2 linked regions of the Cricetulus griseus genome follow. The protein of the gene in region 1 binds, or shares a complex with, the protein of each later gene. Links are inferred from orthologs where the notes say so. Each region holds a gene or a part of one and is shown in the gene's direction. Other genes may lie near its edges.

Region 1 (4,598 bases):
CGCTGGTACCTTGAGAATGACTCTTGTGATCAAATCAGGTGTTGGAGGGAGGAGATTCTGCTCTCTGCAAGGGGCTTTTCGGGCTTTATCAAGATGTTGGTGAGAGCCCAGAAGTCTCTGGTAGGACACAATATGATGATGGACCTACTGCATCTCCTTGAGAAGTTCTTCAAACCTCTTCCAGAAAGCTACGATGAGTTTAAGCAGAACATCCACAGCCTATTTCCTGTCATCATCGACACCAAGAATGTGACAGAAGACATCTGGAAGGAAATGCATTTCCTACAAGCCTCCAACCTCTCAGAAGTAAGTGTATGATGTGCTGAGCAGTGACTTGAATGCCACTAACAATTCTGGACCAGAGATTATCCATGCAAGCGAGTGTGAGAAATATGCTGAGACCAAGTGCCCCCATGAAGCCGGATACAATGCCTTCCTCTGCGGGTCAGTTCTCTTGAAAGTAGCACACTTGCTCCTGGAGAGGGTGCATGGTGATGGTTCTGTGGACGAGCTCACCTCACATACCTGGATGTGCTGGAGCACTATGTGAACCAAGTGAATCTTATCAGAGCTGGGGTTCCTAAAATTAATCTTTCTGGCCCAGATTACCCCAGTATCTGGCCTCCTGCACTCATCCTCACCGTCAAGAGGGCCTGGGGTCACCGAGCATCAGGTCTACTGTGAGTTCCAATATCTTTGCAGGTTGGATGTCAGGCGGTTCACCCCAAACCAGTTTCTGCTCCTGACCAATAAGTTTAAGGATGCCTGTAGTGTCTTGAAGGAGTACAGGAGCCACCCAACCCTGCAGGTCTCCCTATACTGCTACTGGAAACATTCCTCCAACATCACCTGCCTGTTAAAAGTCTGCAGCATCATCACCACCTGGGCCGTAGTTGCATTTGTCCTGGGCAGATCCAGCCCCAGAGTACATTGATCCTCGACTACTGCGGGAGCTTCCCGGGATGGCCCTCATGACTTGTCTGTATAAACAAGTTTGTTTTCAGGAAAAAAAAAAATATATATATATATATAAAAGAGTGTCTAGTACTTTTGACCCATTGCACCATCTCACCAGTCCTACAGTGTGATTTTGTTGTTGTTTTGATTTTTGAGACAGGGTTTCTCTGTGAAAGCCTCTGCCTCCTGCCTATTTTTTTTTTTTTTTAGATCTGAAAATTTTCATATTCATTCTGATTCGAGTTTGGAAAGTGAGAACTACTGTAATATGGACTGTGAGTCTTCTTCTATTCAGAATGCTACGTATCCAGTCTCTCAATAGTGGGTTAGGAAGGGTCTTGGGCAGAACTGAGTGGCTCCAAACATTTGACATCTTCCTGGGAAAGGCTGAAGGTCCAGCACCTTCTCCCAAGGTCAGTGATGAGTAGAGATTTTGAAGTTATCACAGGGTTCTCAGCCAGGCAGCCAAGGTCCCTTCCTCCCACTCTACAGAGAAAAGAGGAGGTGGTTGAAGAAAGGATATGAGATTGGTTCTCTGCTCCTCCCTTTCTCTCCCTGTTTTCTCCCCCACAGCTGCCTTCTCCCCCACAGAAACTGGGATAGGACAGAGGGGGGCGGAGTTTGGAAGCCCTACAGTGCCCTGTATCAGTAGGAATCCTTGGATGGAGTAGCTGTGCTGGTTTGTGCTGTCCAGCTGCCATCCTTTAGCAGGATGCTGGGGACACTGGGGCTTTGGACATTGCTTCCTGCAGTTGCACAAGGTAAGTGTCTACAGATACAGGCAGGGTCTTAACACAATCCAATAAGGGGAAAGGTATACTTGAAGCAGCAGCTACCCCTTTGGAAGAGGAAGAGGTCAGTGGGCTGGGTGAGTAAAGATGAAGGGCAGAGCCACTTGTTCCCATGGGGGATCAGGCCTCAGGCCTCTGCTGACTGTTTCCTTGTGCCTCTGCCATCCTGACCCTGGGCTCCTATTTTGTTTATCCTTTTGGCTGCTGTTTGTCCCCTGACTTTACTCCCTTCTTGACTCCCCTTTCTTCACCTTTGATTTCAGTAACCCCAAACAGTAGGACCTGTGTGTTCTTTGAGGCTCCTGGAGTACGAGGAAGCGCAAAGACACTGGGGGAAGTGCTAGATGAAAGACCAGGACCCCCTAAGAGTATCCGCTGCCTCTACAGCCATTGCTGCTTTGGCATCTGGAACCTGACCCATGGACGGGCACGTGTGGAGATGCAAGGTGAATGGCAAAATATATGGTGGGTGAGAGCTAGGGTAGAGGAGAGGCATGTCCAAGTTGAGGGAGGCAGCCAAGAGGAAAGGGAGAAGCGGAGTGTGTAGATGGGAGAAAAGCATGTCGGAGGGATGCCTTTGATAGAGAAGGGATGTGCTTTCTGCCTCCCAACATCATTGTACTCTCTCTCCTTTTCCTCCGTCCCCCAATCCCATCCCACCAGGATGCCGAGACAGTGATGAGCCAGGCTGTGAGTCCCTCCACTGTGACCCAGTCCCCCGAGCCCACCCAAGCCCCATCTCCACTCTCCTCACATGTTCTTGTGGCAGTGACTTCTGCAATGCCAATTACAGCCATCTGCCTCCTTCAGGGAACCAAGGGGCGCCTGGCCCCCAGGATCCCCAGCCTACCACAGGTAGTTGCCTTCCCTAGGGTACTAAGCTCAGAAAGGGTAGGAGCATAGGTCAGGATGAGAACCAGGGCCAGTTCTCAGCCCACTCCCACCCAAAGTTTCCCTCCTCCTGGCCTTGGGAAGTTGGTTGCCCTGGCGACTGGGAGATAAGGGGGCTTGTGACCAGCATGGGGGTGGTTTGGAAAGCAATCTCTTTGAAGAGGGGAGAGGTTCAGTGCTCACCCACGTGTCTTCTTGCCTTGCTGTCCAGGTGGGCCCATCTGGATGGCACTGCTGCTGCTGGGAATGTTCCTCGTGCTGCTACTGGGCAGCATCATCTTGGGTACTAATCTCTCCCACCCCTCCCTTGTGATAGCAAGGCTCTTCCCCAAAGCTCCAAGCCTTCTTCAGGCTCTGCAGACGCCCCCCACCACCAGTTTTGGGATCTCTGTAACCCATTTCATTGTATGAAGCTCTCTTCCCACATAGCCTCCTTGGCTGCCTCCATCCTGTGCACCCTACCCTAAGGCTCTTCTCTGCTTCAGCCCTGCTACAACGAAAGACCTGTGCAGTGAACGGTGGGTCAGACCCGGAGCCAGTCTCAGGCGGAGACTGCAGTGAGGAATTGCCAGAGCTGAATGAGCTGTGCTTCTCCCAGGTGCTTCATAAAAGGAGGGTGGGTTTCTCTGGTACTCTTGGAGGTTCTGCTGGGGAGGAAGCCTGGTTCTGATGCTAGCTCAGAGGTCCGCACTCAGTGCAGTGTTTCCACCAGGTAATCCAAGAAGGAGGTCACGCAGTCGTGTGGGCCGGGAGGCTACAGGGTGAGATGGTAGCCATCAAGGCCTTCCCCCCAAGGGCTGTGGCCCAGTTCCGAGCTGAGAGAGCTGTGTACCAGTTGCCAGGCCTACAGCACAACCACATTGTACGCTTTATCACTGCTGGCCAGGGGGGTCCTGGCCCCCTGCCCTCTGGGCCTTTACTGGTACTGGAACTGTACCCTAAGGTGAGCACCAAGAAATGTCGGTAATGTGCACTATGCCTATTTTTGTGCTCATGGAAGTGAGGTGCTTCGTGCCTTCCTTAGGACACTGTTGGGTTTTTTGTTGTTTGTTGTTTTGTTTTTCGAGACAGGGTTTCTCTATATTGCTTTGGAGCCTGTCCTGTGTGCCACCACTGCCCAGCTAGAAATGAGCCACTGTTAAATATGAGCCACTGGATAAATAATATCCAACCACAGCTGTCCAACTCATTCATGTGTTTATTTAACCAATATTTATAAACAATATGGCAGGCTGGAGAGATGGCTCAGTGGTTAAGAGCACTGTCTGCTCTTCCAGAGGACCTGGGTTCAATTCCCAGAATCCATGTGGCAGCTCACACCTGTCTGTTACTCCAGTTCCAGGATTTCTTACACCCTTACACAGACATACATGCAGGCAAAACACCAATAAAAATAAATATAAACTTCTTAAAAAAAAAAAAAAGCCAGGTGGTAACGGCACATGCCTTTAATCCCAGCACTCGGGAGGCAGAGTCAGAAGGATCTCTGTGAGTTCGAGACCAGCCTGGTCTACAGAGTGAATTCCAGGACAGCCTCCAAAGCTACAGAGAAACGCTGTCTCGAAAAACAAACAGAAAGATTTGCCCTGAGGGATGGTGAGATGGCTCAGCTATGATGCTTGCTGTGCAAGCCTTGGGGATCTGAGTTCAGTCCCCAGAACCCAAGCAAAAATAGAAAGAGAGAACTGCACAAAGTTGTTCTCTGACCCCCACACACGCACTATAGCATGTGCTCCCAAAGACTCCCCCTTTCTATAATAATAAATTTCAAAAAATTATGTGTATAAGAGGCAGATGGATCTCTGTGAGTTTGAGACCAGTCTGGTCTACAGAGTGAGTTCCAGGACAGCCAGGACTACACAGAGAAACCTGACTCAAAAAACAAACAAAAATTTATTGTTTCACATGCATATATTATGCTTTACACCGAGTGCATGCCTGGAGAGGACACCAGATCTC
Region 2 (4,444 bases), on another chromosome or scaffold:
CCTGTGTGTTGCAGTGACTAAGCAGAGGGACACAGAGATGGGCCAGCAGAGCCTGCTGTTCCAGGTGAGGTGAGGCCAGTGAGGGGTGGGCCAGGCAACCAGGTGGTAGTGCTAAGGTTTTTGTGCTCGTCCCCCAGATTGACTATCCTGAGATTGCTGAGGGCATCATGCCACGCCACCGCTTCATGTCTGCCTATGAGCAGAGGATAGAGCCCCCAGACCGCCGCTGGCAGTACCTACTCATGGCTGCTGAGCCCTATGAGACCATTGCCTTCAAGGTAGTGACCCTGAGGACTGGAGGAGAAAGATAAATTCAGGTTTGTCTGTTTGTATTGGTCCCAGGGTGCAGCCTCTGCTTCCCTCCCCCAGGTGCCAAGCCGGGAGATTGACAAGGCTGAGGGCAAATTCTGGACCCACTGGAACCGAGAGACCAAGCAGGTAAGGTGTGGCAAGACTTGCCTGGGTACTCCCCTACCCCCACCCCCCCTGCTCCTCCAGCCTCTGACCCTCCTCCCCTGCAGTTTTTTCTTCAGTTCCACTTTAAAATGGAAAAGCCACCGGCCCCACCCAGTCTCCCAGCTGGACCCCCAGGCGTCAAGCGGCCCCCACCCCCACTCATGAATGGCCTGCCTCCTCGCCCTCCACTGCCGGATGCCTTGCCCCCACCTCCGCCTGGTGGCCTGCCTTTGCCCCCTATGCCCCCCACAGGGCCTACTCCCGCTGGGCCCCCTGGACCTCCCCAGATGCCTCCACCAGCTCCTGGGGTCCATCCACCAGCCCCAGTAGTCCATCCACCCACATCTGGGGTCCATCCTCCAGCCCCTGGGGTACACCCCTCAGCCCCTGGGGTACACCCACAAACATCTGGGGTGCACCCACCAGCCCCTGGGGTGCACCCACCAGCCCCTGGAGTGCACCCACCAGCCCCTGGGGTGCACCCTCCAGCCCCTGGGGTGCACCCACCAGCCCCTGGAGTGCACCCACCAGCCCCAGGTGTGCACCCACCAGCTCCAGGTGTGCACCCACCAGCTCCAGGTGTGCACCCACCAGCTCCAGGGGTCCACCCTCCCCCATCAGCTGGAGTTCATCCTCAGGCTCCAGGAGTACATCCACCTACTCCTGCAGTTCACCCTCAGGCCCCTGGGGTGCACCCCCCAGCTCCTGGTATCCACCCTCAGGCTCCTGGGGTGCATCCCCAGCCTCCTCCTGGGGTCCATCCTGCCACCCCTGTGGTCCACCCTCAGCCTCCAGGGGTTCACCCCTCAAATCCTGGTGTGCACCCAGCTCCTATGCCCCCCATGCTAAGGCCCCCACTCCCATCAGATGGCCCTGGGAGCATGCCTCCTCCTCCCCCAGGCAACTGAACACTGGCCCCAGCATCCCTTGCTGCCTGTGTGTGGCCTTTTCCTGGCCAGTCCTTGGAAAAGTTTTCTGTTTTGTCCTGTCCTGAGCCCATTAAACAGCCTCCCCCATGTCTCCCTGTCTGCAGTGTGTGTCTGTGGTGGGGGGTATGGGCGGGTGCTGTGTGCCTTCATTGAAGGCATGATGACCTGTGAGTCCTCCAGGTGGACTCCCTAGGCAGATGGGAACTACCCAAGGACAGTTCTAGCCTCTGCAGTTGTGGGCCTGGCTGTGAGGACAGAAAACCCTTTGAGAAAGCCACCTCCCACCTGCTGTGCACACAGGGCACCAGGCACTGTCCCCCAAGGTCACCTCCACCTCCGGAGTTGATAGGGGTGTCCCTCCCAAGCACTCTGGCTCAGCCAAACATATAAGCAGGGCCTCCCAGCCCTTGTTGCTCTACCATGCAGGGACCACCCCTCTCTCCACTAGTGCTGCTGCTGGTGACCATGGGCACTGTGTTACAGGCCAAGACCCTCAAAGAAGACCTCAAAAGAGCCACCAGCACCAGGGGCCTCATCTTCTTTGAAGATGGGATCTGGCCTCTCAGCAGTCCCCCAGAGCCCTTGTGCCTGGTGACACTGAGAGGCTTGAGGAACACAAGCAGAGCCCCGCTAAGGGTGGTAGGGGGCCTGGACAGTTATGAGCATTCCTTCCTGGAGGCTGTACAGGAGTCTCACTGGGGACCCCAAGACCTGGCCACCTTCGGAGTCTGCAGTCCTGACTCCCAGGCTATCCTGCCAGCCCTGCAGCGCCTTGGGGCCTGGCTGGGGGAGACTGGGGGGCAGCAGTTGCTGGTCTTGCATCTGGCTGAAGGTACGTGATGGACCCTGTTCAGCCCCCCTGTGTCTTGGGCCTCTTACTACTACCCGAGGCTCCTCCCAAGGTCTGGGGAGAGGCTGTGAGAAATCCTGTTGCTTGGCTGCAAGGCAGAGCCTTGTACACTTGTGGGTGAGCTGCAGTGGACAGAATGCCAGTCATCACTCCTTCCCTGACAGGGAAGCAAGGTCCTCACCTCACACCTTGGATCAGGGTCCTTCAGGCCTGCATGGCCTCAGGAGATCTTTATACACCCCAGTTAGGTTCCAGCTGAGGAAACCTGTAGGACAGACAGGTCTTGAGGGATGGAAACTAGTGTCCACAGACTGACTTGTCACCAATATTCGTTCCATAGTGAAATGGGAGCCCACGCTCTTACTGAAGTTCCAAGAGCCTCCACATGGGGGAGACAGCAGCTGGGAGCAGGCCTTGCTGGTGCTATACCCTGGACCTGGCCCCCAGGTCACAGTCACAGGGGCTGGACTGCAGGGCACACAGGTACCTGAGAGTGGCATGGGGCCATCCCTGAACAGCCATCTGGTTGGGGTGTATAAAGATCTGCCTAACAGAAGGGTCCCTAGGGTCAAGAGTGTCTCTGGGAGTCTTCTCCCAGTATGGGAGGGTGCTGCCTGGTAGCCTGGCCATCCTGGTCAGTCCAGCTGAGCCCCGGTATCCACAGAACCTCTGCCCTACTCGAGACACCCGGTATTTGGTGCTGGCTGTGGACTCTCCAGCGGGGGCCTGGAGCGGCCCCGGCCTCGCCCTAACCCTTCAGCCACTCAGAGAAGGTAGGAACAGGAGGAAGTGAGGAGTGTGTGCAAAGAGGCTGCCCTTAGCCCTGGCCCTCAGCCAGCCTCGTGCCCACCCTCCGCAGGTGCCGCCCTGAGCATCACCCAGTTGCAGGCCTTTCTGTTCGGCTCTGACTCTCGCTGTTTCACACGCATGACCCCAACCCTGCTGTTGCTGCCACCCGTCCCACCATCACTGCAGCCAGCGCATGGCCAGCTGGACACCATGCCCTTCCCGCCACTCAGGTATGCACAGGGCTGGAGCAGGGAATGCACTGGGAAGAGGGCGGAAGAGGGATGTATCCGCCACACCCTCTTGTGCTCACGGCTGGCCCACTGCGTTCCTTCTATTCCAGGCTGTCCCTGGAGCCAGAGGAGCTGCCACACAGCACTGATCCCTTCCTAGAGACCCTCACTCGCTTGGTACGTGCCCTACGGGGACCCCCGACCCGGGCCTCACATACACATCTGGCCCTGGACCCTGGGGCGCTGGCCAGCTTCCCACAGGGCCTTGTCAACCTGTCAGACCCCACTGCACTGGAACGCCTGCTCGATGGGGAGGAACCACTGCTCCTGCTGTTGTCTCCCGCTGCGGCCACCATGGGGGAACCCACCCCGCTGCAGGACCCTGCCTCTGCTCCGTGGGCAGCCGGCCTGGCACGCAGGGTGTCCGTGGAGCTGCAGGCAGCTGCCTCAGAGCTGCGGGGCCTCCCGGGCCTGCCACCCGCTGCGCCCCCGCTGCTATCGCGCCTACTGGCACTGTGCCCCAACGACACCCACAGCCCCGGGGACCCGTTGCGCGCGCTGCTGCTGCTGAAGGCGCTGCAGGGCCTGCGTGCAGAGTGGCGTGGGCGGGAAGGGCGCGGGAGGGCGGGGCGCAGCGCAGGGACAGGGACAGAGGGGCCATGCGCACTGCGTGAGCTGAGCGTAGACTTGCGCGCAGAGCGGTCCGTGCTCATCCCCGAGACCTACCAGGCCAACAACTGCCAAGGCGCCTGCACGTGGCCACAGTCCGACCGCAACCCTCGGTATGGGAACCACGTGGTGCTCCTGCTGAAGATGCAGGCTCGCGGGGCCGCTCTGGGGCGCCTGCCCTGCTGTGTGCCCACTGCCTATGCTGGCAAGCTGCTCATCAGCCTGTCCGAGGAGCGCATCAGCGCGCACCATGTGCCCAATATGGTGGCCACTGAGTGTGGCTGCCGGTGACGCTCGCCTTGCCTCCAGTCAGTTCTCCAATAAAGATCAGCAAACACTCAGCTGGGGTGTCTGCGGGTGAAGGGACCTCCTGTCACCTCCCTTCTCAAGTGCAAGACCTGTGCACACTCTCTCTCTCTCTCTCTCTCTCTCTCTCTCTCTCTCTCTCTCTCACACACACACACACACACACACACACACACACCCCAGTGAGGAAGCTCTCTGTCCCCATCACGATTCCT

Evidence for each region.
Region 2: the proteins of Amhr2 (region 1) and Amh are in contact, whole or in part, in a crystal structure (PDB 7L0J), measured with the Homo sapiens proteins. The link is inferred for Cricetulus griseus from reciprocal best matches to the Homo sapiens genes AMHR2 and AMH. Residues at the interface, in NP_065434.1 of Homo sapiens: Gly31, Val32, Arg33, Gly34, Ser35, Thr36, Thr38, Leu39, Phe62, Ile64, Glu75, Met76, Arg80, Asp81, Ser82, Glu84, Pro85, Ser95, Arg97, Ala98, Pro100, Ser101, Leu106, Thr108; in NP_000470.3 of Homo sapiens: Leu471, Arg472, Glu474, Val477, Leu478, Ile479, Pro480, Glu481, Thr482, Tyr483, Gln484, Lys534, Leu535, Ile537, Leu539, Glu542, Arg543, Ile544, Ser545, Ala546.

Annotation. Positions count from the first base shown.
Region 1 is NC_048595.1:398,821,527-398,826,124, forward strand, and holds the start of Amhr2 (anti-Muellerian hormone type-2 receptor), read left to right. Parts: upstream 1-1,669; coding exon 1,670-1,718; exon of another isoform or gene 1,719-2,011; coding exon 2,012-2,194; intron 2,195-2,411; coding exon 2,412-2,603; intron 2,604-2,850; coding exon 2,851-2,922; intron 2,923-3,124; coding exon 3,125-3,237; intron 3,238-3,351; coding exon 3,352-3,582; intron 3,583-4,598. UniProt on the Homo sapiens protein: On ligand binding, forms a receptor complex consisting of two type II and two type I transmembrane serine/threonine kinases.
Region 2 is NC_048598.1:101,586,157-101,590,600, forward strand, and holds Amh (muellerian-inhibiting factor), read left to right. Parts: upstream 1-1,620; 5' UTR 1,621-1,805; coding exon 1,806-2,217; intron 2,218-2,575; coding exon 2,576-2,718; intron 2,719-2,899; coding exon 2,900-3,008; intron 3,009-3,094; coding exon 3,095-3,254; intron 3,255-3,364; coding exon 3,365-4,214; 3' UTR 4,215-4,289; downstream 4,290-4,444. Other genes in the region: Sf3a2 (splicing factor 3A subunit 2), read left to right, coding at 15-64, 138-278, 370-438, 522-1,364. UniProt on the Homo sapiens protein: Plays an important role in several reproductive functions. Induces Muellerian duct regression during male fetal sexual differentiation. Also plays a role in Leydig cell differentiation and function.